3 linked regions of the Drosophila melanogaster genome follow. The protein of the gene in region 2 interacts with the protein of the main gene of each other region in a pairwise test. Each region holds a gene or a part of one and is shown on either strand. Other genes may lie near its edges. The genes, in order: CG12182, CG14684 and CG5062.

Region 1 (10,968 bases), on a different chromosome or scaffold from region 2:
TTTATTTACAGTCCATCATAATGTATGACTTATTAGATTTTTGGATTAATTATTTTTTAAACATTTAGGGGATGAATAGTTGAAAAGTATGTTTGCTTATATTATTAAATATAAATAGAATGATTTGCTCAGACAAATAAATTTTACTGGATTTTAAACTAGTAAAGCTAAAATATAGAAGTTCTCCCTCAGGAGTTCGTGACACGACACTCTGTAGTGTGCCCATCTCTAGAGCGTTCATTTGAAACCACTTATAATGGATACGACAGTTCCAAGAACACCCAAACCGTTGATCAAAAGGTCTGCAGCACAGAATTTTCAGTTACAGCAAACCCACTTTATGGTTTCACTGTACTCAATTTGTTTGCTTATGTTGAGGCGTGCAATAGCGTCCAAAATGGTAGTATTCAATCACACTATTTTGAAAACTGCTTAAGATTATACAATATAAATTAAATAACTAACCTCTTGACATCAAACTTCGTACAAAATATGGAATATTTTGTTGTAAAGGTTTACAGCAGCTATCTAATTTTAAAAACAACCCTTTCCGGCGCGTTAAAAGTAAACAAATTTAGAAACATTTTAAAAATAGAACCTTTGCCCGCACATTTTCGTTTGCGTTTCTAATATCTTGAGCGCCATTGTATAAACAAACTCTAATGATGCCTCGAGAAAATGAGCTGCGTATTTCCAGCGCCTCGGGGTGCCAATTTCTGGCCTGTGTGCGGCATTATGTTTATTGTTTATAATTCAATTAAGCTTGATATTATACAGTCCGAAAAAAACCATCCATTATCAGCTGGAGTTTTACGTTTTCAGCGGGTTCCCGAACCTCTCAGCTGTTAATTTCTTAACCGCTTAACGGTAACGTGGGCGGGGGTGTTATTTCTGTGTGTGTGTCTGCTGATTACCCAAGAAAATGCCAATGCAAAATATGATTCGCGGAAAAGCAGCGCCGCTGCAGTCTCTGTTGACTCGGGCTTCATCACCCGCTTACTCACCAGCAGTGATAGTGTACTCAGTCGTTGAGCTGATCAGCCGTACCCTACCCTCATATCAACAACCGGAGTCCATCGCTCAGTAAGGGTATCTTAATCCAGAACGGAGACATCGGTACACTCGCGTAGTACGTTTATATATAGCTAAACTACTGCAAGATATAGTATAATTAGAGATAGACTTAAAGAAAGCCTTGGCGTGTCGCAAATTCTAGAAAATTTGCTAATGATTCACTATATTCTAATCATAAATACCGCATTATCAGATCTCTAGGAAAATTACATTTTTGATGCGTAAATGATATTGTAAGCATCAAGATTGTTCATTTGCTCTTCGCCCTGATGAGTAACTACCTGATGAAGTTAGTCATCACTATTCAGGCATCTTAGTACAATTTGTAACAGTGTAATCTTGTTTAATATTCTCAGACTCTTTGCAAAAGAAGCAATATCTACAAATCTCATTTTGGGGGAATTTTTGACTTTGTTGAATTGTTTTGCTACAAAAAAACAAAGACAGTTTATCGTGTGATATTTGCAATTCCACGACCCATTTAACATATGTCGCTATGAAGGAATCTTGTGTGTGTAATGGCATAGGAGAAATCACTATTGCTTTTCCAACTGTACGCCTCGTTGCAACTCTTAACGCCTTGTTTCCAAATTATCTTTGTAGCGCTGGAGGCGTCGCTACTTCACGCTGAAGCAGGGCGAGATACCGGAGCAGTTCTGCCTCGAATACTACACCGACCACAACTGCCGCAAGCTGAAGGGCGTTATCGATTTGGATCAGTGCGAGCAGGTGGACTGTGGCCTGCGGCTGGAGAATCGCAAGCAGAAGTTTCAGTACATGTTCGATATCAAGACGCCCAAGCGCACCTACTACCTGGCTGCTGAGACGGAGGCGGATATGCGCGACTGGGTGAACTGCATCTGCCAGGTGTGTCACCTACACGACACAAAGCAATCGAATGAGTTGCCATTAGGAGCTGTGGGTGCAGGTGAGTGTCCGCAAGCCCATGTCCAAAGAACCCCTTCTTAAGTTTTTCTTTTCTTGCAACACCCAGACGAAAACCGCACCCAACACACGAGCTCCAGTGGCGGTCTAAGCAACTCCACTCAAAATACGACCACCACATCGTTGCACTCGTCGGCCGGAACCACAGCGCCTCAGGCTTCGGTCCCAAATGCTGGAGGATCTGCCCAGCTGCGACGACCGGCGGTCATTGAAGAGCAACCGATGCCCTCGAATGCCGGCAACAATAACTCAGACTCGGTGTATGTCAACACGGAGTACAGCAATCGCGAGACGATGCTCTGCGATGCCAATTTCGATCAGCAGGAACTGCTCTCGGCTGCCCAGCAGCAACCGCCTCCATCGCCGGCCACGGCTCTTTATCTAAACCACAGTGCTTTGATCCAAGCTCAGGCGGCAGCTGCAGCCGCCGAGCAACTGCAGCAGCAGCAGCAACAAGCTGCTCGCTTGGCGGTCAGTGCCAACGGAGTAGTGCGCAAATTGCCGGAGCATCTGGTGCTCACGCAGCAGACCCTGGCGGAGGCAGCTGCCCAGCAACACAGCAGCGTACAGGCTTCACCCGCTTTGAGCACCGCATCCGGACCGTACATACCCATCAGCGAGTGCTTCTCGGGCAGCCCGAGATTCCTGCCCGGCGTTCCACTGCCCGGCGCAGATTTGGCCATACCAAACAACCCCACCACGCCGTTGAACAACTTGGATCCCAAGTTCTACGATACGCCGCGTAGTCATAATAACATAGGTCTAAATCTGACCAACGATCAATCCTACTCACCGAAGATAACCAATTTGAGTCTGGTAAGTTGATAGCGATAACGATGCGCGTCAAGCATTATTTATAATTAATTATCATGTTGGCCTTTCAGCAACAATTGGCCAATAACAATGCTAGTAAACAACGCTCCGACTCCGATTCGGAAAGCGTTTTCACCGATGACGATGAGTGGGCTCATCCTTTGCCACTGCGCGAGAATGTGGGTAAGTACTCAAAAGGCAAATATCAAAGCGAATTCTCGTAGTAAACAAAGATTTCTCACAGATCGCAGTACCCGACCTTCGGATAGTTCCATTGAAAACGAATCATTCGTGCTAACGTACTCGCAGCGATTCTCTAAAATGCCCGAGGAAGGAGGAGCGATCGTGCCACCAGCTGAAAAGAGTTCCAAGCTAGCAGGAGCAGCATCTCTGCCAGAGGCTGGTGACCAGGGAACGCTGGATAAGCTGGCCAAGGTGCTGAAGAACAAAAATAATCTCATATTGGACTTTAAGGAGAATGAAAAGTGAGTTAACACACACTCAATTCAATTTTAAACGGCCTACTAAATCATCCTGCGCATTGACAGAATTCCTCGCGATCTGCCGCAGCTGTCGGATACGGAAAATACTTCGCCGGCCATTGTGGCCCGCCGCAACGCGCACTCCGCTTTCATCGAGGAAAGCTATGACATTCCAAGGTCCCACCAGCAGCCTTACTACAACGTCAACCAGCTGCTGGGCGAGCGACCAGTCACCAGCCCGCACAATTCCAATCCCATTGCAGCATCCACACCGAATCTCATGGCGGCCGATCTGGGTGCAGTGGCCGCAATTTCAGCGGCAGCGAATCCCGGCCTGATGGGTGAGGCACAGGCAGTCGCATCATCGCCCACCAGTGCGCGCACATTGCCTCGACACTGCTACACCAATGCAGCTCCCACAAAGATGGAGGGCAATGTTTTTCGATACGACTTCATGGAGCAGGCGGACTGCCCGCCGGTTAACCGGAAACTTAAGCCAAAGGTGGCGGGTGGATTGCCAGTTGTAGAGGACAAACCGCCGGAGGAGTTTCCTGCAAAGCCCCCGGTGGGCGTAGATCAGTTAACCAATAAACTGGGTGCAGCCCAACTGCAGCAGCCCATTGGACCGCCCAGTGTGGACAGGAAGTGCAAACCGAATGCCTATAAGGTGAGTGACAAACGTTGTGCACACCCATATTCAATTTACTAATGACTTCTTTTTAGTTGGGCAATTCGGCTACCATGTCGCCGGCAACGCGACGTTCCTCCGGTGCCCCTCTCTCAATGGTGCTGCCGCATGAAACGGATGTACACTCCCCGGCGGCAGCCAACGCCTTCTTTCACGAGACCCGCACCCTGCCTCGCCAACAGCATCGGCATCATCCGAACAGTCCCGGCAGCATGTCGGTACAACATCAGCGCACCGCCTCCGCAGCGGCTGCCATGATGAGCTTGACGGCAGCAGCTGCTCCCAAGCAGCAAGCGGCGGCGCAGACTGAGCACAAGCTGCAGTACTTTGATCTGGATGTGACCAACAAACCGCCATTGCTAAATCGATCCAGCATGAGTGTGGGGAATCTGTACTCACAAGGCGGAAATGGAGCTAGTGGAATGCGATTCGCAGGCGTCGAAGCTGGCGGAGCTCGAGCGCCAGTGCCTAGCAGCGTGGTCTATAGATCCGTGGACTTTGTCAAGACGGAGGCATTTAAGAGGATTCGAGAGGAGCGCGAGAGCAGCGGCAACAAGTGAAACTGCTGGTTCAGCTAAATGAAATCATATCTCCAGTACATCTACTTGTCAACGTGCAATAGCAAAGGAAGGACCATGTTGCTGATCCGAGATTTTCGTAGTGCCTATTGGTGGTCAGCTGAGGAGAGCTGACCCCATCCAAAAACAGTGCAAATTTCGAGTGGCTTTTACATTCGTTAACATCGTCAAATTCATTATTCATTAAACCACATATCTAGCTTGTAAGACGGCACCAGCATTTCTGTGTGCTGTTTTGAATCTGTAATCTGTAACCCGTATCTGAATCTATGTCGTATTCGTATTTAAATCGTGCTTCCAACACTTCCATGTTTATTGTTAAGCTTCGGAATCAAAATGTAACCATGACAAACGATCTTAGTGCTAATTTTACAATGCAAACAATTATTTTATATACGCAAGCGAAATATTTATATACACGAATTTTATATGGTAACAAATTATTTACAATTTAATAATGTAACTCGTGTGCGACACAAGCTGTAGCTTGATTTTGTGCTTTAAAAAATATATATACAATAATACCAATTTTGTGTGTTCTCCTAAAAGATCCAGAACAAATATCGAATTCCGATTGCTAGAAAATATCTGAATATTACAATATCACCAGGAAACGATGTTGCCTTCTGTTTATTCTGGAAATCCTATAGCAACCTTTGTTTCGAGTTAAATCAATCCAAGTCAACGCAGAGGTACTTGGCAACGCAGGAGTCTCCACCAAACAGACTGTTATTATTAAACGAATAGTCAGTAAACTAGCACGCTTTCGAGTTCCCTACCTTCATCCTTACATATTTGTATTACAATGTCCCTGGTTTATATCACCCATCACGATGAGAATATTCTCGAGTGCGAGCAGGACTTTGTGAAGGCCCAAGGACCTAAGGAATCAATTTTTGTCTACAAAAATCGTAGGGATTCGTACTAAAAATCGTTACCTCCCACCTAACTTTAAGCAATTTTGCAGCTGTTGTGGAGAGGGCAGCCAAGTATGCCAAGAGACTTCGCGAACGCTTTAACGAGGAGGACAAGAAGCTATCGATTATCCTCCAGAACGATGGAACCCGCGTCCTGACAGAGGCCAAGAAATCAGCCCACCGCACCATGGGCTGTGCTCACACTCCGATTGACCCACCGTGCGCCTATTTGCGCAAGAGCCAGGGCATCAAATGGCGGCGAGAGAACACCCACAAGTGTCCCAAGATGCCGCCAATGCCCCCACTACCACCACCGGGCAGTGGCGGCAAAAAGCCGGCAATGGTACCTAACTTCATCAAACGCAACAAGATATGTGCCGGACAAACGGTTCCCTGTCCCCCGCCACCTCGTTATGTAGACACTCCCGTGGGAGCTCGTCACGATCTACTCAATTCCGGATTGGTACCGCAGTTTATCTGCCGCAAGGATTTCGGCAAGGTGCCTGTTTACCTCAAGAAAACCAAGAGGATGTTGGCCGACATGAATGCGGTGTGTGCCAAGGAACAGGCACGTTTGCTGGAGCTGTGCCGCGGTATCAAGGGTTTCACCAGGGCATCCGTCCAATCAAGTGGTCCGCCGCCAATGCCGGGTATGCGGGTGATGGAGCAGGCCGAGCGAAATGAGATCCTCGAGGGACTGCGACTGAGCCTGACCGAGATGACCAAGCAGTATCAGTCGATGTCGCTCCTTATCGACAGCATCGCCAAGCGGCAGCGCAAAAGCAAGCTGGAGTCCGATCTTCGCCAGGTGGAGCAGGACATTCTGCTAATCGAGACCACTCCCATTATCTATGTTTCCGAGTACTAACAATGACACACACACCTTTTCTGACCATGTGTGTCGGCATCTGGAAGCCGAGTGAGGTGTCTCCATGGATTCACTTGCTTTGCTCTTAGAGGCGGACACACAAAACACTTCGTAATTAAGATTGAGAATAAATTTAACGTTTATGCATTAAACATTTCCGTGGCAAAGCTTCCATGGCAAACGGGACATGTCAGATGTCTCCCCGACTCGTAGAGTTCTTGCAGATTGTCCAGCTCGAATAGGATTTGGCGGTTGCAGAGGCTGCAGTAGCGTCGCTCCAAGCTGAGGGAGATCTGTACGGATACTGTAGTCTTGTCTTAAAATGAATTCTAGTGAATTCTTACCTCCACAAAGGACACACTGCATCGATGAAGTTGCTTCTGGGGATTAGATATCACAGGTATACCTAGCATCTCGTGCAAGTGCTGAATATGGTTGCCCATTTGTTCAACGAATGTCCTTGCTGTGGATCCTAGGGCATGGTTTTCCGTGAAGTCGTCATTGAGTTTATTTATCAGTCTGTGGGCCTCCTCGAACATACATTTTATCGCCTGCTCCTGGAATGGTGATCTCTTACTTAATGACCCAATAAACTGGAGCCTCAGTCTTATGTGTGTGATATTCAGCATCGCAAGGAGCAGCTGCAGTTCATCCCGGGACTTTTGGATGTGAACTGTCAGCTGGAGGTGGCTCGATTGCAGGCGAATCACGTTTTGAAGAACATGAAATTTAATTTGCAGCTGCTGCAGCTGACCTTCAGTGGCGGTATCGGCAAATTCAATGGAATCTAATGGACAAAAGTCCATAAATTTTTGCCAATTCTCCTCGGCAAAAACGTGCAGACGTAGTCCAGCTAATAAATCGGTATAGTGATTCATGGGCTTATTGGATTCCAGATGCCTGACAAGCTGATCAAGTGGATCCTGATTCCCCACCTTGAGCACTTGCATAACCAACTGGTTCTTTTGAGATACAGTTTCATTTAGATATTCCTTGTTGCGGTAGAGTAACAGGGTCATTAAGTTCTTGTGCCTACTGGTGCACAGTCCCATCACCTGGAAATCCTGAAGGACACCCATGGCTATCGATTGCATCTGCAGGCTAAGCTGATTATTCTCGTGGATAATTTGTACGCAAGACAAACAGCTTCCAGCGGTTCCTGCAACGTAGCTACTGTTCTCCAGGCTGCAGAGAGCGGTGATCTTCATTCCGCCGACATAGATCCGAGCTTGCAGGCAGTCTGTGCTCCCCGTTCTTGGCATGCTCCAGGTCAGCAGGTGCGCCGCCTTGCAGCAGGTTATATAATAGCAATCCATTCTGGGACATTCAGTGATCACTGCCATTTGCAGACCCATGCGATCGGCTTTCTCCCACAAGGGCTTCACTAAGGCGAGAGCTGTATTTCCCTTAGCTGGCAATTGGTACAGGTGAATGAGTCCGTTGCTATCGCCCACCAGTAGAAGGTCCTTGAAAGCTTGTATATGGCAGATACGACCCATTGAGGTTTTCGTTTCTTGATGACTTAAAAGAGTTTTGACATCGGCGCTTAGTGTGAGCAACCACAAACTTCCTGCGGCTGTTCCCAGAACCAAAACATGCTGGCCAGTGGCATCTGCATCATCAGGTAACCAAGCAAACATAGTGATCCAGGCGGGATTAATATATTCTTGATAGCTCTTAAAGTCTTTTATCTTGGCGATGTCCACTTCAGGCAGCAGAGTGTCCCTCAGAGTTTCAGCGATATTTAGTCCTTCCACAGGGTTCCAACGATTGTACTCAGCGGACTTGTTTATTAGGCTCAAGGATCCATAAGTGTTGAGGGAGCCCAGGAGGAGATTTCCATTAGCTGCCAGCTTGGGTGCTCGCTTAACAGCTGTTAGTCTGGCTGGTGGCACGGCAACGGAGCACACAGCCGTGTATGCCGGGTCCAGGGCCAAGTGCTGTGCCTCCAGGACATCGCAGCTGTCGTATATGGCAACCAGATCCACTTTGTTGGCCAAAACGTCCAGAGGTCGTGTTTCCGCAGCGTTGGAATCATAAATGGCCACAAAATACGGAAAGGGATCCACGACCATGAACTTGCTGCTCAATTCCAGAGTGATCACTTCCGATTTGGAGCCGCTCAGTGCTATAAAGTCTCCATCGGAATCGCTGTTTACAAAGTCGTGTACCGAGTCCTGGCGGACGAATCCTTTGGCTAGAAGGTGAAAATCCAGATAATCTAGAACGAAATTAAACATTTATTAATTGCAATAACAAACTGCAATTATATTACAAGATATTCCAGTTACACTATTTCATTGAAGAATAGGAATTATTTGTAAGTGCGAACAGAGCGAGCACAACAAACCGCGCGAAATCGGCAATCACTATCTCAGATGTGTGGGTATATCTATTTAGCACGCATACACTCACATTTCCCGACATCTTGAACGCCATGTGAAATTTCTCCCTCAGTAACTTTCGTCATTTCGTCGTGCTCAGTTCAGGAATCCAAATCCACCGGAATGGCGGCCAAGAAACTGGGAATGGTTAGAGCACCATGTAACTTGTTGAGTAGATAACTGAAGTTCTTTCTTTTCAAAGGACTTTGTGAAGCAGATGTCCGAGTACGCCAGCGGGTCCAATGGATTCGACCGCGTCTTGAAAATGGTAAGATTCTAAACAATTTGTGCAGCCGATTTTAAAGCGACGCCGTCGAAGTCTCTCAAAAACAGCTGACTGTCATCAGTGATGGTATTACATAATTCAGCTCGCTGCAATCGATAACCGTGAAGTGCTCACCTCTCTCGTGGGATCTTCAGAGATTCAAAAATGTAAACAAATTTCAATTCGCAGATTAAAATTACAGGCGGTGGAGATGGTCGCGCAATAGGGGAGTTCACTGTGGCCAATGAGCATTTGAATCGCCAAGGAACTTTGCACGGTGGTCTTACGGCAACAATTGTTGATAATTGTACCACATATGCCCTTATGTCGAAAGGTATTTTGAAAGTTTGTTTATTACAATCTATAGAATCTACAATGAAATTTTTTTAAATTTCAAGGATCCCATCCCGGAGTTACGGCCAACCTGAATGTAAGCTACATTGCAGCAGCGAAACCTGGCGAACTTATTGAAATTGATTGTAATACCGTGCGGGCCGGTAAGAAAATGGCCTATTTGGACTGCATTCTGAGGCGTAAGTCCGATGGAAAGATCATCGCCAAGGGCGGACAGGTCAAGTACATTCAGTTCGACAAGGAAAAACTGGATTTTTAAAACAATTTTTGTAGATCGTCAGAAAACGAAATAAAATCTTTCGAACCTCTGCTTAAGACGTACTAGTTTAATTATTTATTATTTCTTAAGTTAGTTATTTCTTAATTTACAAAATAAAGATATTTAAAACTAAAATAGATGAAAGACTATAGAAATCCCAACGGATAATTTTTAAATAGGTAGGACTTTGCATATCGATTTGCCCTTTTAACTTATCGATTGGCGATTCTGCTTATCGCAAAACAGCTGTTGTTTGTTTTGAAATTGTTTTGTTAGGTGTTACGTTAGATTTTCAGATTTTTATGTAAATTTCGGGCAGTACGGGGATAGTTAGGTAGGATCCGTTAACTAAATACTAACTATTTCATAATATCGTGCTATATTATGTTTACCTTATTTTTTGATACTTGCTAATTGTTTACTTTTCATCGAAAAGCGGAAAACTGCACTCGAAGATAATGAAATCAAATATTGAAAAAATCAAAGCAATCCATTTGTTAATATACTACTGTGATTTATTTTTTAATGGATTTAGTCCCATCCAAACTTACACACGTCATACATACAATAAAGTTGGATTGTTCTATTGTAAAACAATTACTATCTGACACTTGAGATATAAGTGCACGTTACGACTACTTATCTATCTACAAAACTAAATCTAGTATATTTCTAATCGTTCCGATCGGACAAACTAATTCATTTTGTAGTTATATAGAAGCTAGCGGATCGTCTGTAAAGCAACATCAATAAATAATATGGGAACTCGCAAGAAGGGACTCGAATTCGCTAAACACATCACCGAGATTATCAACAAGTCAACGGGCTTTGAAAGTCACCTACAGAAGGTTAGATCACCATAGAGTCTCCTTACCAATATCATTATCTCATCCTTATATTCCATTAAAGGTCAAGATCGTAGACGGTGGCGATGGAGCCTGCACTGCTGAGCTAAAGGTGGACCAGGATCATGTGAACTTGTACAAGTTTTTGCACGGCGGTTATATCATGACCCTGGTGGACTTGATAACCACCTACGCCCTAATGTCCAAGCCATGTCATCCCGGAGTTTCGGTAGATCTTAGTGTAAACTTTCTAAACGGCGCCAAACTGGGCGACGATGTGGTGATTCAGGCCAATCTGTCCAAGGTGGGCAAGTACCTTGCCTTCATCGATTGCACCCTGAAGCACAAGAAGGACGACTTGGTGATAGCCAAGGGCACACATCTAAAGTATATCAAATTTGACTAGACTAGATAGTCTCAAATTGGGAGCTACTTCGTTTTGAAAAATATTTTCGAAGCGCCCCAAGTAAGTTTCATAATTTGTACAAATAAATGA
Region 2 (8,979 bases):
GATGCCCAGCGATTTTCTGACCTACCGGTTCGTGGAGTTCATGCACCGCCCGGCGGTTCACCGTCTGATCCATGCGCTCATCATTTATTTCGAATACTTTCTGCGTATGGTGGAGTTTGTGCTGGTGCGGCGCGACGAATTGGCCGATCAGATCCAGAGCGATCAGACCATCGATATGAAGAAGACATTCTCGATCTATCTCAGTCAGTATCGCCTCCTGGTGGCCCGCAACTACAGTGTGATTCTGAAGGGAGAGGGCGATATGGCCAAATACTACCATATGAAGGAGATTATCAATATTTCGGATACCAGTCGCGACCGCGTCTTCCACGAGCAGTTTCTGGCCGTGATGACCCAGATTGTTTGGATCTGCATGCATCGCCGTGCGTACAATGTCATTGAGATGGAAATGAACCGTCTGTTTCGTTCCGATCACTTTGTTATGGCACGTCCGGAGTATCTGAGCTTTACGCCGGCGGAGCGCAGTTTACTGTACGGTCGGAACCATAAAATCGTTAACTATCGCACCCAGATATCGCCGCTCGTCCAGGAGTTGGAGCACGTGGCGGAGGAGGACATGCCCATCCTGTGGATTGGCGAGCGAAAGTACCGAGGCAACGACAAGCGCATTGCCGAGATGGAGCTGGAGTACATTGTGCCGGGACCACAGCTGCGTATGATCGATGTGGCACACGGCATACTGGGACATCCGAAGGATCTGTACAACACCATCCTAGACCTGGACTGGCCCACAGTTCGCTACTCAAACTTTTCGCTTGGCTACGATCCGTACCACATCATTCGCCAGCCGCACTTGGACATTCCCAAGATCGACGCCTTGAAAGCGCGCAAGATGAATGAAAACTACGAGCATTTCTACAAGGTGTATCGCATCTACGAGCCGCACAGCGTGCAGATCCTGCAGAAGTGGCTCAAGCGGGACAAGCTCGTCCAGTTCTATCGCTCCGGGGGACTGCTGCTCACCAACGTGGTATCCCGGTGCGAGAAGGAACTGGCCGAAAAGGTACCGGTAACCAAGGTCGACCAGGTCATATCCAATTACTTTAAGGTGAAGTCCAGGCTGCGCAAGGGATCTCCATATGAACCGGACAACGTTAGCATCACCTCCTCGCGGATCGGGGGCTTCAATTCGCCGCGCCAAAAGAAAACGCCACAGGAATACTATTTCGATTGATTTGAGGTCGTACACATCCATTAGGTTTTCAAGAGACTTCAAATACTTCAAAATTATTTATTCGTGAATAAAATACTTATAAATCTTGAAAGCTTGGCAATATTGTTGTTACTAATATTGTAGGATATTACTAGTATTTTTAAAAAATTGTATTGGATTTTTAAGGTATATATTTCCGCTTTAAAATGCGAACCGTAGACTTATCGTTCCCAGTGTTTCAAATGGCAGATCAGCTGATCCCCAGATAAGGCTATCGTATCAAAATCTGTCCACCTCGACAGCTCTGTGCAGTAGTTGCTCGATAGACACGGTTCAGTAGAGATCTTCTTCCGACCAGAATCATGTCCGCTCCGCCATATCGTCATTTTACCCAAATTGGGGATCCTGTTCTGCGCCAAAGGGCAGAAGAGGTGCCGCCCGAGGACATCGATAGTAGGGAGATCAACCAGATTATTGACGGCATGGTAAAGGTGTTACGTCACTACGATTGCGTGGGCGTGGCTGCGCCCCAAGTTGGAATACCGCTGCGTATTATCGTTATGGAATTCCGAGAGGGAAAGCAAGAGCAATTCAAGCCGGAAATCTACGAGGAGCGTAAGATGTCCATACTGCCCTTGGCCGTAAGTAAAGCTTTTCTTTTCGCGTTCGAAAAATATATGTAAATCTATGCAGTTTTATAAACGTATGAATTTGAGAAACTAAATTTCTGCATACAAAAATATTGCTTATGTGCAGCAACAATCCCGTGATTTCTCATCATAAATCATTTGCTTGCAGGTCTTCATTAATCCGGAGCTGGAGATAATCAGCAGCCAAGTAAACAAGCATCCCGAAGGTTGCATGAGTGTGCGAGGCTATTCCGCTGAGGTGGAACGGTACGATAAGGTCCGGATCCGGGGGATCGGCAAGCTGGGCACTCCGTCGGAAATGGAACTGGAGGGCTGGAACGCACGGATCGCCCAGCACGAGGTGGATCACCTTAATGGAACTATCTACATGGATAGGATGGATCTCTCCACCTTCAACTGCATCCTCTGGGAGCAAATCAACGCAGCTGAAGGTCGATCCGCCATTTGGTTTCACAAGTAATAACTTGGTTGCATTTAATTCAAGGAGCTTTTCACTTTTTTATGGCGCTTTATACAACATATTTGTATATTGTTTGAAAATAAAATACACTTCTGAAATGAATGCGCTGTTTACGAAATAAACTTTGTGTGCGGGGAAAAAGTATTTTATGCACCTAGCATATATTTAAAAGCGCGCCAAATATCAAATCTATTTCCACCGATATATCGATAGGTACATACTTTCACATCCCTAGCCGGTCAGCTGGCCAGTATGACCGTGTTGTGTAACTATATTCCCTACGATTTTGATCGGAATATTAAAGGAGGCTAAACATTTCACAAAATGCACCTGAAACCACGGATAAAAGTATGCCAAGCGATTCTGGGACATTGTCGATCCTTTGGAACGAGTCCTCCCGCTAATCAGTCGTTCAGGAAGTGGTACCAGCACCTGTGGACCACGGAGCGCACAAACTTGCCGCCATACAACCATTTCACCCAGATTGGTGACCCTGTTCTTAGGCAACAAGCGGCTTTGGTGCCCAAGGAGCACATGGCTAGCCCCGAGATTAAGGCCATCGTCGAGCGGATGGTCAAGGTGCTAAGGAAGTTCGACTGCGTCGGCATTGCGGCTCCTCAGATTGGAGTATCGCTCAGGATCATAGCAATGGAGTTCAAGGGACGGATCCGAAAGGAGCTGCCCGAGGCCGTTTACCAAGCCCGACAAATGTCCGAGTTGCCACTGACTGTGAGACTGGGGTCCTAACTAGCTGTGTTCGGAAGCCCAAACCCTATAATACAATGGTTTGCTTCTTACAGATTTTCATCAATCCCGTCCTGACGGTGACCAACTACGCGAAGCTGAAGCATCCAGAAGGATGCATGAGTGTGCGAGGTTACTCTGCCGAAGTGGAGCGTTTCGAAGGTGTAAAGCTAACAGGCCTTGACCAACTAGGAAACCAAAGCGAACTGGCTCTGAGTGGTTGGAATGCCCGGATAGCGCAGCACGAAATGGATCACCTGGAGGGAAAACTATACACCGATCACATGGACCGCTCAACCTTTGCGTGCACCTGCTGGGAGGCGGTTAACACGAAATCCGGACGCGTGGAGATACCCTTCTACAAGTAGTTAAGTCGCTCGTGGATCGTTTCACTATTTATGTATGTATATATACTGATTGAATGGAATTCTATCTGGCAAATGTTCCTCTCGACTGGTTTTAGTCCATTGGTTTGGTGGGTGCACAAACCCGTAGATTGTGGATGGCCGCCCCAAGCGCAGACTTGGCCTTGAAGTACTCCTGACTGTCCCACAAATCACTCTTGTCCATCATGTAGGCAAGCAATTCTTGGTACTCCCGCATCAGCAGACGATGGGTGGCAGCCGTCTTCAACTGTTGCATCTCAAATAGCTCGGAAAGAGTCGGCAGGTCCTCAAGCTCTTGATCACTCGCAGTCTTCAGCCTAATATTTTCGTGCTGGGTTCTCAAAAGGCAATATTCATTATACTGCTCTCGCAGACTCTTGCCAAGATAATTGAGGACTGCAGTGCGCAGAATAAATTGCCGTATGACCGGATCGGCATTAGTGCGGCGGAACATGCTTAGCACAGTCCGGGAAACACCGGTCACCTAAATCAGCGTGGTACCGGAAAATACAAATTCTGAGAATACAGATTGACAGAAAAATCACGCCCTTGGAAATTATTGTATTTGGTCTTTTAAATAATCGGAGTCGCTGCAGCATCTAAATTTCAGTCTTTTTGAGGAACATAAATATTTAACTCTCAATGTAACGACACTGATTTTTCACTGCTTTTGACTAAAATACGATTTTATAAATTTATACCATTATTTACTGCCAAACGCAATGAAGCGCATTCATGTGGATAACTACGCCCCAAAGTACTATAGCGGCAAGTGGTCATGGGACTCGGAGAAAGACTGCCTCCACTTTCAGGCGCACAACGATCTGGAAAACGCAAGAGAGCGCTATATTATGACCAATGGCTACAGGTTCCTGCGCACAATAGACCAGGAGGAGGAGCTCATCTTCCGACAGGAGTATGTGCTACCGAAAAGCAACTATAGTGACGTTGTGGTGGTCGGAGATATTAGAAACTTGGTTCTCTACCTTATGCCTTCAGAATTTCTAACCTACAAGTTCGTTGAGTTCATGTACGAGCGGGATACGCACTTGTTGCTTCACTCCCTGATTATATACTTTGAGCACTATTTGCGACTGGTCGAGTTTATACTTATACGTCGGGATGAGCTTTCCGGTCCCCTGGGTCAGGTGCAGAGCGAGCAGACCAACGATATGAAACGAACCTTTTCGGTATACTTAAGCCAGTATCGTATGCTTGTTGCACGAAACTACTGCCGCATCATCGGGGGCGAGGATAATATGTCCAAGTACTACCACATGAAGCCGATTTCCAACATTTCAGCAACAATCCACGATAAGTTTTTCCATGAGCATTTTCTGGCAGTGGCCATCCAAATAGTCTGGATCTGTATGCATCGCCGGGCGTATTACGTAATCGAAATGGAGATCAATCGCCTTTTCCGCTCCGAGCACTTTGTTTCCGCCCACCCAGAATACCTCGAGTTCACGGAGGCGGAGCGCAGTCTTCTCTACGGCAGAAACAAAAAGAACTACAATTATCGAATTCAGGAATCGCCTCTAGTCCAGGAGCTAAAGCTGGTTCCTGAAGAGGATTTGCCCATTTTGTGGATAGGCGAACGCAAGTACAGAGGAAACGATATCCGCATTGCCGAGATTGAGCTGGAGTACATTGTGCCCGGTTCGCAGCTCAGCTTTATAGATGTATCGCACGGCATCATGGGCCATCCCAAGAGCCTCTACAACACGCTTCTTAGTCTCGACTGGCCGGCTGTCCGCTTCTCAAACTTCTCGGAAAAGTTCGATCCGTACCATATAATCAGGAGACCTCACCTGCAAATACCCAAGATAGGTGAGCTTCAGATGCGTACAATGAAAGAGAAATATGAACATTTCTACAAGCTCTGTAAGGTTCATGAGCGGGTCACACACCATCAGATCTGCAAGTGGGTCAAACGAGACATCAACATAGCCTTCTTTCGGTCCGGAGGTCTACTCACGAACGTAGTCTCGCGTTGTGAAAAGGAGTTGGCAAGCACATCTTCAGGACAAAGGGTCGATCAGATCATCTCCAACTATTTTAAGATCATGTCCAAAATACGCAAGGAGGATAGAGATCCGGAGCATGCATCATCTACGCGTAGTAGTATTGCATCGCGATTTAGTGTAGGCAAGGCAAAGCGGTAAAAAAAACTACCTAATTTTATACGTTAATTGCAATTTTTGCATATTATTATATATACAGAAAATCGGAGCTTTAAAGCACTGACACTTATGGATTGCTATTTTATAATAAATGCACGAAGACGAAAGACATTGGCATCCGATCAAGGGTATGGGTTTCGTAGGTGGGAGCTTGGGAATAAAACTTCACTTTAGGCCTTTAAACATGAGCATAATTCCACTAAACTTCGTCACGTACACATCAATTTAAATACACTTTAAAAACACTAAACACAACCCGATCTTGGTTTATCTGCGCGACTACGATGAAAAGAGTCCATGTCGATAACTACGCTCCAAAGTACTACAGCGGCAAGTGGTCATGGGACTCGGAGAAGGACTGCCTCAACTTTCAGGCGCACAACGATCTGGAAAACGCAAGAGAGCGCTATATAATCACCAATGGGTACAAGTTCCTGCGTACCATCGACCAAGAGGAGGAGCTTATCTTCCGGCAGGAGTATGTACGCGCCAAGTCCAACACCAGTGACACAGTGGTGCTAAGAGATATTCGAGATCTGGTGCTCTACTTGATGCCTAAAGACTTTCTAACCTACAAGTTCATTGAATTCATGCATGAGCCACAGGTGCAGTCCGTGCTCCACGCCTTAACATTGTACTTTGAGTACTACCTACGCCTGGTGGAGTTCGTCCTGATTCGCAGAGATGAACTCTCTGGCCAGATGGCCCAAATTCAGAGCGAGCAGACCACTGAGATGAAGAAAACCTATTCCGTTTACCTGAGCCACTTCCGCATGCTATTAGCCCGAAACTACTGTGAGATTATCAAGGGCGAGGGATCTATGGCCAAGTACTACCACATGAAGCCGATTTCCAACATTTCAGCAACTATCCACGATAAGTACTTCCATGAGCATTTTCTGGCAGTATCCATCCAAATAGTCTGGATATGCATGCATCGCCGAGCGTATTTCGTCATCGAAATGGAGATGAATCGGCTTTTCCGGTCGGAGCACTTTGTTTCCGTCCGCCCTGAGTACCTTGAGTTCACGGAGGCGGAGCGAAGTCTTCTTTACGGCCGAAACAACAAGAACCTCAATTATCGCGTCCAGATCTCTCCGCTGGTCCAAGAGTTGGAGCATGTTGTGACGGAGGATTTGCCCATTCTGTGGATAGGAAAGCGTAAGTATAGGGGCACTGATCCTCACATCGCTCAGATCGAGTTGGAGTACGTTGTGCCCGGATCGCAGCTCCGCTTGATTGATCTGTCCCATGGAATCCTTGGCCACCCGAAGAATCTCTACAACACCCTTCTGAACCTCGACTGGCCAGCAGTTCGGTTCTCAAACTTTTCGGAGCAATACGACCCATATCATATCATCAGACGAAACCACCTGGACATTCCCAAGTTGGGTGAACTTGAAATGCGAAAATTTGGCGAGAGTTACGAGCACTTTTACGAGATCTTTCACTTTTTCGAGCCAGTCACCCATTCACATATCTGCAAGTGGGTCAAACGGGAGATCAACATAGCGTTCTTTCGGTCCGGAGGTCTGCTCACGAACGTAGTCTCACGATGTGAAAAGGAATTGGCCACCGCATATGAGGGACAAGAAGTGGACAAGATCATTGCCAATTACTTCAAGATAGTGTCTAACATACGAAAGGTGGACTACTTTGAGTCGCCTCGTGTGAGTGACGTTAGCACAGTGAAGAAGGGGAACTTTGGAAAAAGACAAAGTACCTAAAAAGTCGGCTTGAAAGTAGTCAGCAAAAATCATGCATTGTTGGTTGCGATTTTGTGCAAGAATACTACCTTACTTTTGAGGGCCAAAAATAGGTATTCGTGTAATTTATATATTTCCAACCTGTCTACATATAAAAAAAAATTCATTTATAATATCATGAAAATATATAAAAACTAAAAATATTTCGTTTCCATTCTTTAGCTTCTGAAAAGTAAAAACTCGATAGTTTTAAAGAAAACTCAAATCGTCAGAAATGTATATTAGTTTACCGACTTTTAAATCTTATCTCTATATCATTTATATACAAGTTAAAACGATAAATTTGTTACTACTCTGGAATTAGATGTGAAAAGGCGTTGAAAGTTATTAGGAATCTTCTCCCTTGTCCAGGTTGCCGTCTAAAATAGGCCCTCAATTTCTCCGGTTTCCGTATTCAGATCGATATCGTAGATCGCCGGGCGGGTGGGAAGACCCGGCATTTTGGTGACCTCACCGCACATGGCGACCACAAAGCCGGCTCCGGCTGAAACATATACGTCCTCAACGTCCAGGGTGAAGCCCTTGGGGGCGCCTTTGATTTTGGCATCGCCGGTGAAGGAGCCGGAGACTTTGGACATGCAGATAGGTAGATTGCCAAAACCCTGCGAATTGAACAATGCATTTCTATAAATACTTTCAGTTTCTCGAAGAAAATGTTCTCGACTTACCGCATCCGTCAGGCGTTTGACCTTCTCCTCAGCCGCCGGCGAGAGCACCACCTTTCCAGCGCCGTACATCGTCGTAGCGATCTTGTTCATCTTATCCACCAGCGGCAGCTCCAGATCGTAGAGCAATCGGAATTGATTGCCCTGTTCGCAGGCCTTGATCACGGCATCGGCCAGCTGAACGGCTCCGGCTCCTCCGTCCGCCCAGTGAGTGGAGACTACGGCGGCGAATGCACCTGCCTCCAGAGCAGCCTTTTTGACCAACTCATGCTCCGCCGGGGTGTCTGCTGAATGAGCATTAAGGCTCACCACCACTGGCATGCCGAAGGCCTTTCCGTTCTCGATGTGCTGCAGCAGATTGGGCAGACCCTTCTGGACGAGCTCCAAGTTCTCCTCGGTGTACTGCTTGTTCAAGGGGGCTCCGGGAGTGACGGGAGCTCCGCCGCCGTGCATCTTGATGGCCCTCACAGTGGCTACCAGCACCATGGCGTTCGGCTTGCGACCGGATGTCCGACACTTAATGTTGCAAAACTTTTCCATGCCAATATCTGATCCGAACCCGGCCTCCGTGCAGACAAATCCATTTTTACCAACCAGCTTTAGGCCGACTTCATCAGCGATGATCGAGTTGCAACCGTGGGCGATGTTGGCAAAGGGACCAGCGTGCACCAGCACTGGAGTTCCCTCGAGCGACTGCATCAGGTTCGGCTCGAGAGCGTCCTTCAAAAGAACTGCCAGGGCACCGGTGACACCCAAATCGTCAGCGGTTACGGGCTTGCCTCGTTTGTCGAATGCCACCACCATGTCAGCCAGCCGCTGCTTCATGTCCTCCAGACTTCGGGATAGTGCTAGCACAGCCATGATCTCGCTGGCCACCGAGATGGAGAACCGGGTCTCCCTCGAAATACCCTTTTCAGTGGGCGATTGCCCAACGGTAATGGTGCGTAGGTA
Region 3 (10,815 bases), on a different chromosome or scaffold from region 2:
AGGAGGAGGAAGAGGAGCAGAACGAAGAGCAGGAGGATCGGGAGGAGCAGCATCCCTACGTGGGAGGAGCTACCAGTGAGCCAGATATTTGTGCCGCCACACGACAACAGCTAACCAGGATTCATCACATCGCCATTGACGACATCGCCACCGGACAGGAGCATCATCATCATCATCATCACCATCTCAGCATTTCGGGACAGGCAACGTCGTTGGGCGCCAATTCTCACGCAGACTTCAGGGAAATCGAGTGCGAGCGACTGCGACGCAAGTGCGTTAGCGTTAAGCGCATCTATAGCATATCGGAAAAGTTCTAATTCAGATTCAAATCAGATCACTCTACTCAAAACTCAATTCGATATCTCAGCTCTCTCATACCTGTACAGCCCTTCACCATATTGCACTTCAATCGATCAATATACCGAAACCAAAATACAAAATCAATCAAAATCGAGAATCGAAAATCGCCAAATCAAAAATCGAAGCCAAATCAAATCGAAATAAATGCAAAATCAGTTTTCAAATTCCGCTCACCAACAATCGAACCAAATGCAACCAAAATCACAAAATTGCCCAAAGCGAAACACCCCACACAAGGTTAGCAAAAAGTTAAAAACCATAAGCCAACCAGCTGAAAAGAAACAAGAAACCAAGTCAAACACAAGAAGAAAAAAAAAAAGGAAACCCAAACCGAAAAGCCAAAACCAACACAACAAATAGAAGAAAAAAAAAAAAAAAAATGCCAATGAGAATTTTTCAAAAAATATTTCGCACAGCATATCTCGAACATTATTATATTTTTTGCCTTTATGTTTTCTCACCTGCTTATATTCACTGTTCACTCACCTGTTCTTTATGCCCCTCACCCTTCACCACTGGTTTGGTCTTCGGCTTGCACTGTTCACCTTAGTCCTATTTCACATTGATTAAATCTAATTATATTGCGCATATTTCACGATAAATAAAAGGTTGCCTCTCACCCTAAATAATCGAAAAAATGATATACCAACAATAGTCAAACTTGCTCAGAGAAGTGGTCATATTTTTCACACCCAACTGCACTCTTTTTTTCCTTCGAACCTCAATAACATTTCTTTCACTTTCACCTAACAGGACAAGAACTTTTGCACCAGCCCACTTTTTTTTTTTGTACGTAAATCACGTGATTTTTTTTATCTTCATTGTCCACCACATACTAACACCCGAAAATCCAACTCAACTCCAACTTCTACCTCTTTATCTCTCTCTCTCTCTCTCTCTCACTCTCGCTCGGACATACACTCACACACATAAGCCACCGTCAATTTGTCACCTGTTTTTTCTCTCTCTGCATCGCTAGCTAAGCCCGGCTCTAATAATTCCCAACTTTTTGCAGCTGCGAAGTCAATCAACACAATCGCACACGTGTGGTGTGCAAAGAGTACTAGTAAGGTTACATCCAAAACTACTTAAACATACAGATTCTTGCATATTTGATTCTATTCTATTTGGTTTTTATTTAACATTTCCTGTTTTTGGGTTCAGATTTTTGTGTATTTCGCTCGTTGAGAGATAGAATGAGGGGAAGAGAGTGGGGAAGAGGGCGCACAGTTTAAAATTCTGGCCCTTCCATGTGGTTGGTCCTCCTCTCGAAACTTTTTACTTTTTGTTTAGATTGTTGGTTTAACTTCGCTTTAATTTTTCTAGTTTCAGTTTCTGCTTTTTCTCTCCCTACAATTCTTTGCTTCGCTTTTTTCGTTTTGTTCGCTTTTTTTTCCTTTTTTGCTGGCTTTTTTTCCTGGCAGAATTCTCTGGGTCTTAGCCACTTGGGGGGACTGGAACAACAAATATGCTAACTAGTTGGCTTTGGCCAGGTCTCTGGCGTCCCAGTCTCCTTCTCATTCCTGGCGGGCCTGGCTTTTAAACCTCTGCTTTCGAGTGTTATGCAAAGTAAATTGTACATAATTGTCAGGACTAGCAAAACACAGAGACCCAGCCACAGCCAGGCGCTCTCACATATATGCAAATGATGGGAGCTAAAGACGGAGGACAATGACTAATTTTGCTGTCATTGTTGGAGGAAAAAATGAAAAAAAAAAAATCAAAGGGGAACAGGGAAAGAAAGGAGGAAAAGCTGTAGAGCATTACTATCATATCTTACAAATTGTCGCAGCAGACTCCCTATCTGCCCTATATAAATGTATGTACATGTACATATACATATAGAGGTACATACATACGTACATATATCCTTTCAATTATTCGATATGTGGTAGAATTTTCTTGTTGTATTCTTTTATTCCTTGGACCTCGTTTTCATCTCCAGTGACCATGTGTGTTTGTCTATCCTTGGCCCGCATCAAGTTAACTTTCCCCACATGTCCTTCCTCATCTCCATGCCCCCCCTCTTCTCATCGTCCTCCTCCTTCTTTCTCCACTGCCCTTACCATTTCTCTTCTTTTCAACCATTTGTCTCTCCCTTTTGTGCTCAGCGTTCAACGTTCGTAATCTTTTGGTCTTTTCTTCATCATCGTTTAGCTTGATGTGGTTTTCCCCGACTTAATCAGTTTTACTATTGTTTGTTTTTACCAAGCACACACACACGCACACACGCGCAACACTCACACACAGCTACCCTCTTTCCAATTGCCTGCGTATGTGTGCGTGTGCATATACATGTACTCCACATTTAACAAATATATGTGTACGTACATGTGCGTTCAACATAATAGGTCACAAGATGCGAATATTGATGAGAATATCTTTGGTATCTATAGAATATAGCTTAAAGGTTCTGAATTAAGGGTGTTCTAATTTTACTTGATTGCTGAAAGAGTCTTAAGCATGTGATTTTAATGTACGCTATTATTTCGCCCACAACTGTATATTCGCATTGAGCGCACAGAAAAGTATGCTATGATTTTTGTTTTGTGTTCGACAGGCAGGAACTGGCAATTATATTGTGTGTATGTTGCGGTACATATGCGAGTGTATGTGCGTGGGTGGGTGCGTGTGTGTGTGTGTGTGTGTGAATATTTGCCATAAATGCTGCATCATGGCAAGTATTTAAGCCATTGAGAGGCATTTTCTGCTAACCCAGAAACACATTCATCTCGGCCTTTTTGCTTGCTGCTAGTTCATTCAAGGGCAATATTCTTCTGCATCATTAACCCGCCGCTATGCCGATGGATGGATGACCCACAGCCATGCAGTCACGGTCAGCTTAACCCATTCGTGCCCGTGTGCCTGTTTCTTGTGAATATTTCACAAAATCGAATCAATAGTCATCCGAGTGAAATTAATTTTTGCTAATTTCGCGAATTTAAGTGAAACAAATGCCTCTCTACTTAAACTCAACTTAATTTACCCTAATCCTTGTGTGTCTGTGTGCGCCTTTTTAACCCCCACTCATCTATCGTGGGTTAATTCCCAAAGACGTATTAGCCCGGCGAAATTTATCCAACTCAATTAATCTCAGCGTTCTGTTCTCTGACTTTACAGAATTGATAGCTTCGTGCGAGAAGGCGTGGCTGTGGCGCCTCTTTTGTGATTTATACTCGATTTCGCTGCGTGTTTTGCTTAGTTTTTATCCTTTATACGAATAAATGATATTCAACAAAACTGCGCGAAATCCCTAGATCATAAACTAGTTAATAATTAACCTTAAATAAAACAGTAACACCACTGCCCAAAACTGCATTTGAACCCATTGTTTTTGATTACTTGTGTGGCTAATTATTTTTGCAGCCGCAAATGCGACAGGATAAAGTTGACTTTTAGTTGCACCGAATACCGTGTGCAATCTGTGTGCATATTTAATACATGCAAAAGAGTGAGCGCAGCGATAGAAAAAACTTTGTTTGCTCTATCAGCTGCTGCTTAATGAGTGCCAGTCTATATATCCTTTTGTCTGCGGTCTGCAGTTTTAACTTGTTGAATTGACAGCAAACAAAAAAGGCGAGGAACACACGGAAAAGTTGCCACCACAGGGTGGCTAAAATACGTGCATATACATTATGTACATTTTATATGTGCTGCAAGTTTTAATTCCGCCAAGCTCGAAAAGTCATCATCTATGCCATTGTCAACTTGAGTTCATGTGTGTGTCTGTGTGTGTGTGTGTGTGTGTGTGTGGGAGTGAGTGTGTGCGCGTGTTTGATGCTGTCTGTCTATGGATGGATTTTTAGAAAATATAACTATCTAAGTGAATTCAGCGCCCAGCTTCTTTTTGTTGCCAGCATTGGCGACACGACCCTTTAGCGATTGCACCGCCAAATTGGGCAGACATCCGCGCTTTTGTAGATCATCCAGTTTGACTGTGATCACCGTATCGATTTCCTTTTGCCGCTGCGCCTCAGCTGCCCGCTCCCTTTCGAAGGCCAAGTGTTCCTCCTCCAGTTCGCGGCGACGAGCCTTCTCCCGTTCTTCGATTTGGCACGAGACACTGGAGCGCAGACAGGCCTTTTTGATGGCCTGCTCCTCGGCCTCGCGCTTCATTTGCTCCTCGTGCTTCTTTCGATACTCGATCATCTCCTTTAGTTCGCGTTCACGTTGCACATAGAAGCAGGCCTTCATTTGGCTAAGATGCTCCATTTGCTCCATATTGGCACGCTTGAGTTCGGCGGCCATTTTGCGTTCCTTTTCGGCTGCCTTACGTTCGTTTTCTCTGTACTTTCGTTCGAGGCGTTCGTGTTCCGCCAGGAAATGCATCTCCTCGCGATTATCCTTAGCATCGAGAATCTTTTGGCCGACTGCAAAGAGAACATCCCGTTTGCGTTTCTCATCCGCCGCGATGGCTTCGCGTTCCGCTCGCTGTTGTTTCAATTGCTGCTCCTTGAGCTTTAGATACTCGTAGGCCCTGTTCTCATCTCTTTGATCCTGTTCGCACATCATCCGTACGAAATTGCGATGCAATTTCGTATACTTATTCAATTCATCCCGATAGGCCAGCTTACGGCGCGATTTCATCTCGCCCTCTGCCAATTCAGCCTTTTTATACTCATCGACGGCGGCACGCAAGTCTCGCGCCTCCAATCGCAGACGATCCTGGGCCAGGAAACGTAACTTTTCGCGATCAGTGATTTGTTCACGCACTGCGTTGCCAAATTGCCGGCGCCTCTCCTCTTCGGCCTGATCTTGCTGCTCCACCGTGCCCCATTTGGCATTGTTGTAGTCGCGATTCTTGCGAGCCATCTCCTCGTCATGATCGAGTTGAATGCGATTGAGTAGCTTCCTTTCCTGTATCTGAGCCGTCCACATGGCACTGCATTTGGCCTCGGATATCGCACGCGTGGCATCCTTAACTCGCACATCTGACTCGTATTTGGCATCCAAGGCGCGGTGTAGTACCTACAATGGGTGGTGGAGATATACTTTCGGAAATATGGCTAAGAACCATAAACCAAAAAACTACCTGCAATCGTTTGGCCTCCGCACGCCGATCCTCGTTGACATCCTCATCGGCCTCGTCATCGTCCCTCTTCTGGGCCTCGCGCTCCTTCTCCCTGCGCTGCTCATCAATGTCGTGGAAATAGTTACGCATACGTTCCGCTTCGGCTGTATGATATTGCTGCTCCTCCATCCGGCGATCCTGTTCCGCGCGACGCTCCTCGGTGGTACGCGGCCTCGATGCCCGCATGCGATCCAGTTCGCACTGTGAGAGCTCCGCATAGCCCTTGGATTCCCATGATTGACCCTTGATGTGAAAGAACGTGGCCTTGGCACCGTCGTATTTTCGGGCTCGCGGTGGCGCCTTACCGCCACCCACCGCCGAACGTGTGATCTTCTGTCCAGGCACGGCTACTGGATTCGGTAGACGTGTGCCGGGCGGTAATGGTCGCCTCTGAACCTTTGGCTTTACGGGTCTATCACGGCGTACGCCACATAGTGGCTCCTCTTCGACGGTCGATAATGGTGGCGTTTCCAGATAAATCGGCTTCTTAAGTCGATCATAGCAATCCGGGTGCAGTTTCATCGCAGCTCGCGAACGACATGGCATCACCATTGGCATCTTGACGAATTCTATTCTATATGTATATCGCGTTTGAAATTGCAAATGGCCAGAGGGGTGTGGGGTAAAACGCAATAGCAGATTTCTCGCTTAGCTATTGAGTTTGTTCCTTTGTTCGGTTTGTTGGCGTGTCTGTTTGTGTTATTTGCTCGGAGGCTCTTGTTTTGTTTGCTTGTTTCGTATATTTCGTTTGTTTATCCAATCGAATCTGGCAGGTTAAATCTACATGAATTCAAAGCTTGCTGGGTATAGCATTACAATTACAGGGTATTTGCTGGGAATGTAGGCTCACAGGTACTTTTTGAATCATAGAGTTCCTTTAATAGGTCGGTTATACATTTGAGTATCCCAAAATTAAACATGCTCGTGTACGCTGCTTCTACACTTGTTCACACCTGACCACTTGAGTGTCGTTTTTTGTCGAGTGGCAGGTGAGAAGGAAAAACTAGAGGATAAGTGAAGGGGGGGGGGGGGGGGCGAGGATATATGGAAAGCTAGTTGGGGGAAAAAGGGAAAGGCTGCCGCCGCTGCTGCATTTACTTCCGCCTGCTTTGGTTGCATTCGAAGGCGTTGATGCTTGCATTTTGGAATAGCCCCGACAATTTGCATTCTTTGTATGTAAGTGCCACGCCCATGGCCCGCTTGCCCCACCGCCTACTCTCCCTTCGAAATCCAGCCACCAGGTAGGTGGCATGAAAATTTAATTACACGCCTCGCTGAAACGCAGTGCCTGAATATAGGGGTCGCTGGTTTATTTTTTTTATATATTTTTTTTGTGAAAATCTCGCTGTTGCCCGTAGATTAGGCTGGTGAGAGAAAAAAAAGGATAATGGAGGAATATATATAGTTCAACAAGCTGGCTTTTAAGCAGGGCTATAATACCGCATGTCACTTGCTGCTCGAAAGTGCTCGAAAATGATTATTTTTGCTCAAGTTATGCTTATTTTACGGTATTTTGGTATATGTATAACTTAACTAGCCGGAGTCTTTTGTGCACTCGATACTGACCAAATTCCATTTTAGTCGTCATATGACGAATGCTGGAAGAGAATTCGAAACCGAAACTCAATATCCAGCCCATAGTGTTTGTCTTGTCTATTTGTGTGGCGCTTGTGTTGTTGGGCGCACAAAGAGACATCTCCATCTACTACGCTACTCGACACCCAATACCAAATACTCGAGATTCCGATGAGATGGTGTGGTGGCCGTGGGGCAAATGGTTGCCTTCACTATGGACAACCAACAGCGACCACCTCTGACTGCATGGGTTCCGCCCGAAATACACTCCTGTTCGCCAGACATCAATAACACCGATGTTTCTCACATCGCGCTGAGCGTGAAGTTTTTGCCATAAATATGAATTATTTTTTTTTTTTGGCAAGCAGCTAAAAATCATATTACGTACTATAATATATACGACAAGGGGGGGCATCGTCTCCGTAAAACTTTTCTCACATTTCAATGGCAATAAAAGTGATTTAATAAGGCGCAAAACAACACAACAAAAGGGGCAAAAAAAAAAAAGGGGGCGTACAAATTTTTGGGCAAGGGCAGCGGGCAAGCCAGCCAGAAAAGCGAAATCAATTTGATTTGTCGCCGTAGACGACGACGACGATGGTGGGCGGTGGGACGATCCACCGACCACGCCCATTGCGTGTGATTAAGTGCGCGTTTAATGTGCACGCCATGGCCATAAAACAAATTGTATGCAATCCTGCCACCGAAAGCTTTCGCAATTTACTCCCCACACAACTCTGGAGGAGATTTACCCGGCTTCATCTGTGTGCGTGTGCGTGTGCGTGTGCAATGCTACTACAACTACTACTACAACTACTACAACAACAGCCTCCGTGGGTTTATTCCTCTTTTCTCGCAATCCTTCTTCATTTCAGAGTTCCGTAACTGATTTTGACCCGTAGTCCGTTGGGGAGGCTAAAAACTTTTACAGCTCTCGCTCTGTGCGAGCGCTTTGAAATGTAAATACGGCTCATTATTTCCAATGCCTTGCCATTCATTTGCAAAGTTTCCAGTTTGCCATGGCCCTCACACACACTAACACACACACGCAGCTGCAGCAGCAGCAGCACAACACACACACAGTGGACCTCCGCTCACATGCGCACAGTCACCATGGGATAATTTCCGGTCCACTGAAAATGATTCCTTGGGCATTTAATCGTGAAAGTCATTAAAAATCACTCCCTATCCACAACTACCTTTTAGGGTGGCAAGATTGCAGTCCAAAAGTTATTTGCAACCAACGGTACACATCAATATCCGAAAAATGGCTGTACAAATAGTGTCACAATATACATATATTGAAATTAAATCCAATTTACTGGACTCTTGAACCCACTGTGCTGGATGGCAGGACTCTGTGGCCATCGGTTCACCTTTAATTAACTGTAATGCCATCAGGCAGCAGGACATCCGTTGGTCAACGTGTGTGTAATGCCCTTTTGCTTTCCCTTCAGCATTTGCCTTTTCCTTTACCACCCAAGTCACCACCATCACCACCAGCAGAAAATGTGTGTGTGCGAAAGGTTTATTATTTTCACTTAATTTTTGCTAGACTTTTTTTTTTTTTTTTGTTTTGTTTACTTCAGGTTGCAGAACCTTTTGGCTCCGGCCATTCAATTTACGTGCCTCTAGGACGGTCCTGCCCCAAATGGCAAATCATCACAGCTAGACAGAAAAATAAGATAGGCATGGGGAACAGCGAGGGAAACCTTTCGAGGAAAACGAGAGCCAAGAAGCGGAATGTGGAATCTTGTTTGTATAACCAGAGCTGCGGCAAAATGTTGTTCAAATTGACTTGGCGGGGGCCGGGGTTCGAATGACTCGGCAGGTGGATCGTAGTGTCCTTCCGCGCTGGTATATGGAGCGGGCTTGTGGGAAGTGGGGAGTGTGGAGAGGGAAAAGGAAAACCATCGGGCTTCCTGCCAAAAAGGGACAAAGTCAGCGACAAAGGAATGTTTCGCCTGCTGAACAATGGCAAATAATTCATAACTGGGCTCAAAACTTTGATTTAGCTGCAGTTAATACACTGGGCATACCCCTCATATCCTCCAAATCACCCTTTCTCCTTGAGCTCCCCTCCTTTTTGGATTGTGCAGGGGGTCATATATCTCTGGCTCCACTCGCTCATCCTGTTGGCCATACGTCGGTTTGCATAAATTTTACCCATGGCCAAAGAGGACTCGAAACGTAGGACTCCTGTTGACAGGCGGAATTCCCCCCCTTTTTACAACTGCTGCTCCTCCAGCAGATAAATTACGCTCCGAGCGCCCAGGACCCATGGAAGCGGAAGAGCCAACGGATGACGGCCGGCTGGCAAAGCCAAAGCCAAAGTCAGAGATGTGGGAAAAGCTATAGGAGAAGCTATGGCCAAAGCCAGAGGAACCGGAGCACCAAGACTGCTGTCCGGACTGTCAGGCAGCTGTATGCTTATTTTTCTTCAACTGTAACTGCTGACAGAATTAGAAAACAAAACAAAAAGCATCAAATATAAGAATGGGAAGAGAAAAACTCATATATGTATGTGTATGTATGAGGCCTTTGGTCAGGCGACAAAAGTTTCCACTTGAATTTCGAGGAAATATTGTTCAAAGTTAATATGAAATACTTCTTTTTTTTTCTTTTTGGCACTTTAAGGGCTTAAGTCTATTAGATTCACGAAGAAATTAATTAATTAATATGGTAAAGTGCAATGGAATATTAAACCTATGGTTTTATGTTTATAACGGAAAGCCATTTAATTTTTGGCTGCCTTAAAACGGATGCCATAAATCTAGATTTCTATTGGTGACTACCTTAGATGTTGGGCAGCGTGCCTGAAATTTTTGTGGCTACCTCTATGCGAAACCCCGGCCTTCTGCAGAACACAACTCCTCTCTACCCCCCCTTCCACACAAAAGTAGCGCCTTGCTGTTGCTATTTTCTTCCCAATGCCTTCGAAATGGCACACGGAAGCCGAGGCGTCTGCTATAAATTTTTAACAACCATTTAACTTGAATTTTATTAGTCCCCAGTCAGCGGTCAAAAGTTCGAGGAGTCGGTGGGGTGGCATAGGCATGGGCATGGCCATGGTCTTCGTCTTGTGGATCCAATATGGCAGTTGGGGGCGTGACTGATGCTCCAAGTTGGTGTCATGTTTGCCTTCCTGGAATATGCTCGTATATTTCGGTATACAAAGTGCCCAAATGCTGCCCACAAAGTCATCACAATGACATTTTGCATTTCGCAGTTCATTTCGACTTGTCCCATTCTGTTCATTTGTTGTTGGTGTTTTCGTTGTCTACTTTCTGCTGGTTGTTGATAGTCCCCATAGAGCCCCCGATGCTCTCTCTCTCTCTCTCTCTCTATCTCTTTCCCTCTCCCACTCTCTCCGTCTCTGTCTTTATTTTTCTTTTTCCCCCTATTCCGTCTTGGCTATAAATTTTATATGGAAAGTAGTTGTGACTTGTGGGTCACTTGTTTTGCTGCAGCTTCAGTTCTTCGCCTGCCGTTGACCGATAACCATGTTATTCTCTTCTCCTGAATTTTTGGTTTTTTTTTTTTTACTTCTTTAATCTAGTTTGTTATTATTTACTCGTTGGCAAATAAAATTGCAAAGTTTTTGTGTGATTGGTTTTGTCTTTTTTTTCGTTGGTTTTGGTTTTTGTGGGATCTTGTTTTTCTTGAACATTCTCAAAATCAATGTTAAACCAAGTTAACTTGCAGTTGAGTAAGATGTGCGCTACAGACAGACTAAGAAAAACAATAAACACGACAAGAAAAACCAAACAACTCGAGTGCTATTAAACGACAAAACATAACAAAACAAC

What was found.
Region 1: the proteins of CG14684 (region 2) and CG12182 interact in a two-hybrid assay, tested with the Drosophila melanogaster proteins (one large-scale study listed by BioGRID).
Region 3: the proteins of CG14684 (region 2) and CG5062 interact in a two-hybrid assay, tested with the Drosophila melanogaster proteins (one large-scale study listed by BioGRID).

Annotation. Positions count from the first base shown.
Region 1 is NT_037436.4:2,590,485-2,601,452, forward strand, and holds CG12182 (uncharacterized protein), read right to left. Parts: upstream 9,096-10,968; 5' UTR 9,018-9,095; coding exon of another isoform or gene 8,952-9,017; 5' UTR 8,897-8,951; coding exon of another isoform or gene 8,873-8,896; 5' UTR 8,836-8,872; coding exon 8,781-8,835; exon of another isoform or gene 8,641-8,780; intron 8,587-8,640; coding exon 6,710-8,586; intron 6,659-6,709; coding exon 6,506-6,658; 3' UTR 6,366-6,505; coding exon of another isoform or gene 5,548-6,365; 3' UTR 5,492-5,547; coding exon of another isoform or gene 5,386-5,491; 3' UTR 5,358-5,385; downstream 1-5,357. Other genes in the region: dos (daughter of sevenless), read left to right, coding at 1,678-2,002, 2,069-2,835, 2,904-3,015, 3,077-3,317, 3,381-3,981, 4,038-4,562; CG16984 (uncharacterized protein), read left to right, coding at 5,386-5,491, 5,548-6,365; CG16985 (uncharacterized protein), read left to right, coding at 8,873-8,896, 8,952-9,017, 9,204-9,348, 9,413-9,627; CG16986 (uncharacterized protein), read left to right, coding at 10,386-10,475, 10,537-10,878.
Region 2 is NT_033777.3:10,701,892-10,710,870, reverse strand, and holds CG14684 (uncharacterized protein), read right to left. Parts: upstream 3,898-8,979; 5' UTR 3,869-3,897; coding exon 3,488-3,868; 3' UTR 3,411-3,487; downstream 1-3,410. Other genes in the region: CG14689 (uncharacterized protein), read left to right, coding at 1-1,195; CG31373 (uncharacterized protein), read left to right, coding at 1,537-1,815, 1,973-2,284; CG31278 (uncharacterized protein), read left to right, coding at 2,609-3,013, 3,085-3,396; CG31467 (uncharacterized protein), read left to right, coding at 4,137-5,579; CG31391 (uncharacterized protein), read left to right, coding at 5,882-7,324; pug (pugilist), read right to left, coding at 7,723-7,965, 8,032-8,979.
Region 3 is NC_004354.4:5,176,192-5,187,006, forward strand, and holds CG5062 (uncharacterized protein), read right to left. Parts: upstream 6,179-10,815; 5' UTR 5,990-6,178; coding exon 5,393-5,989; intron 5,329-5,392; coding exon 4,180-5,328; 3' UTR 3,991-4,179; downstream 1-3,990. Other genes in the region: CG15465 (uncharacterized protein), read left to right, coding at 1-317.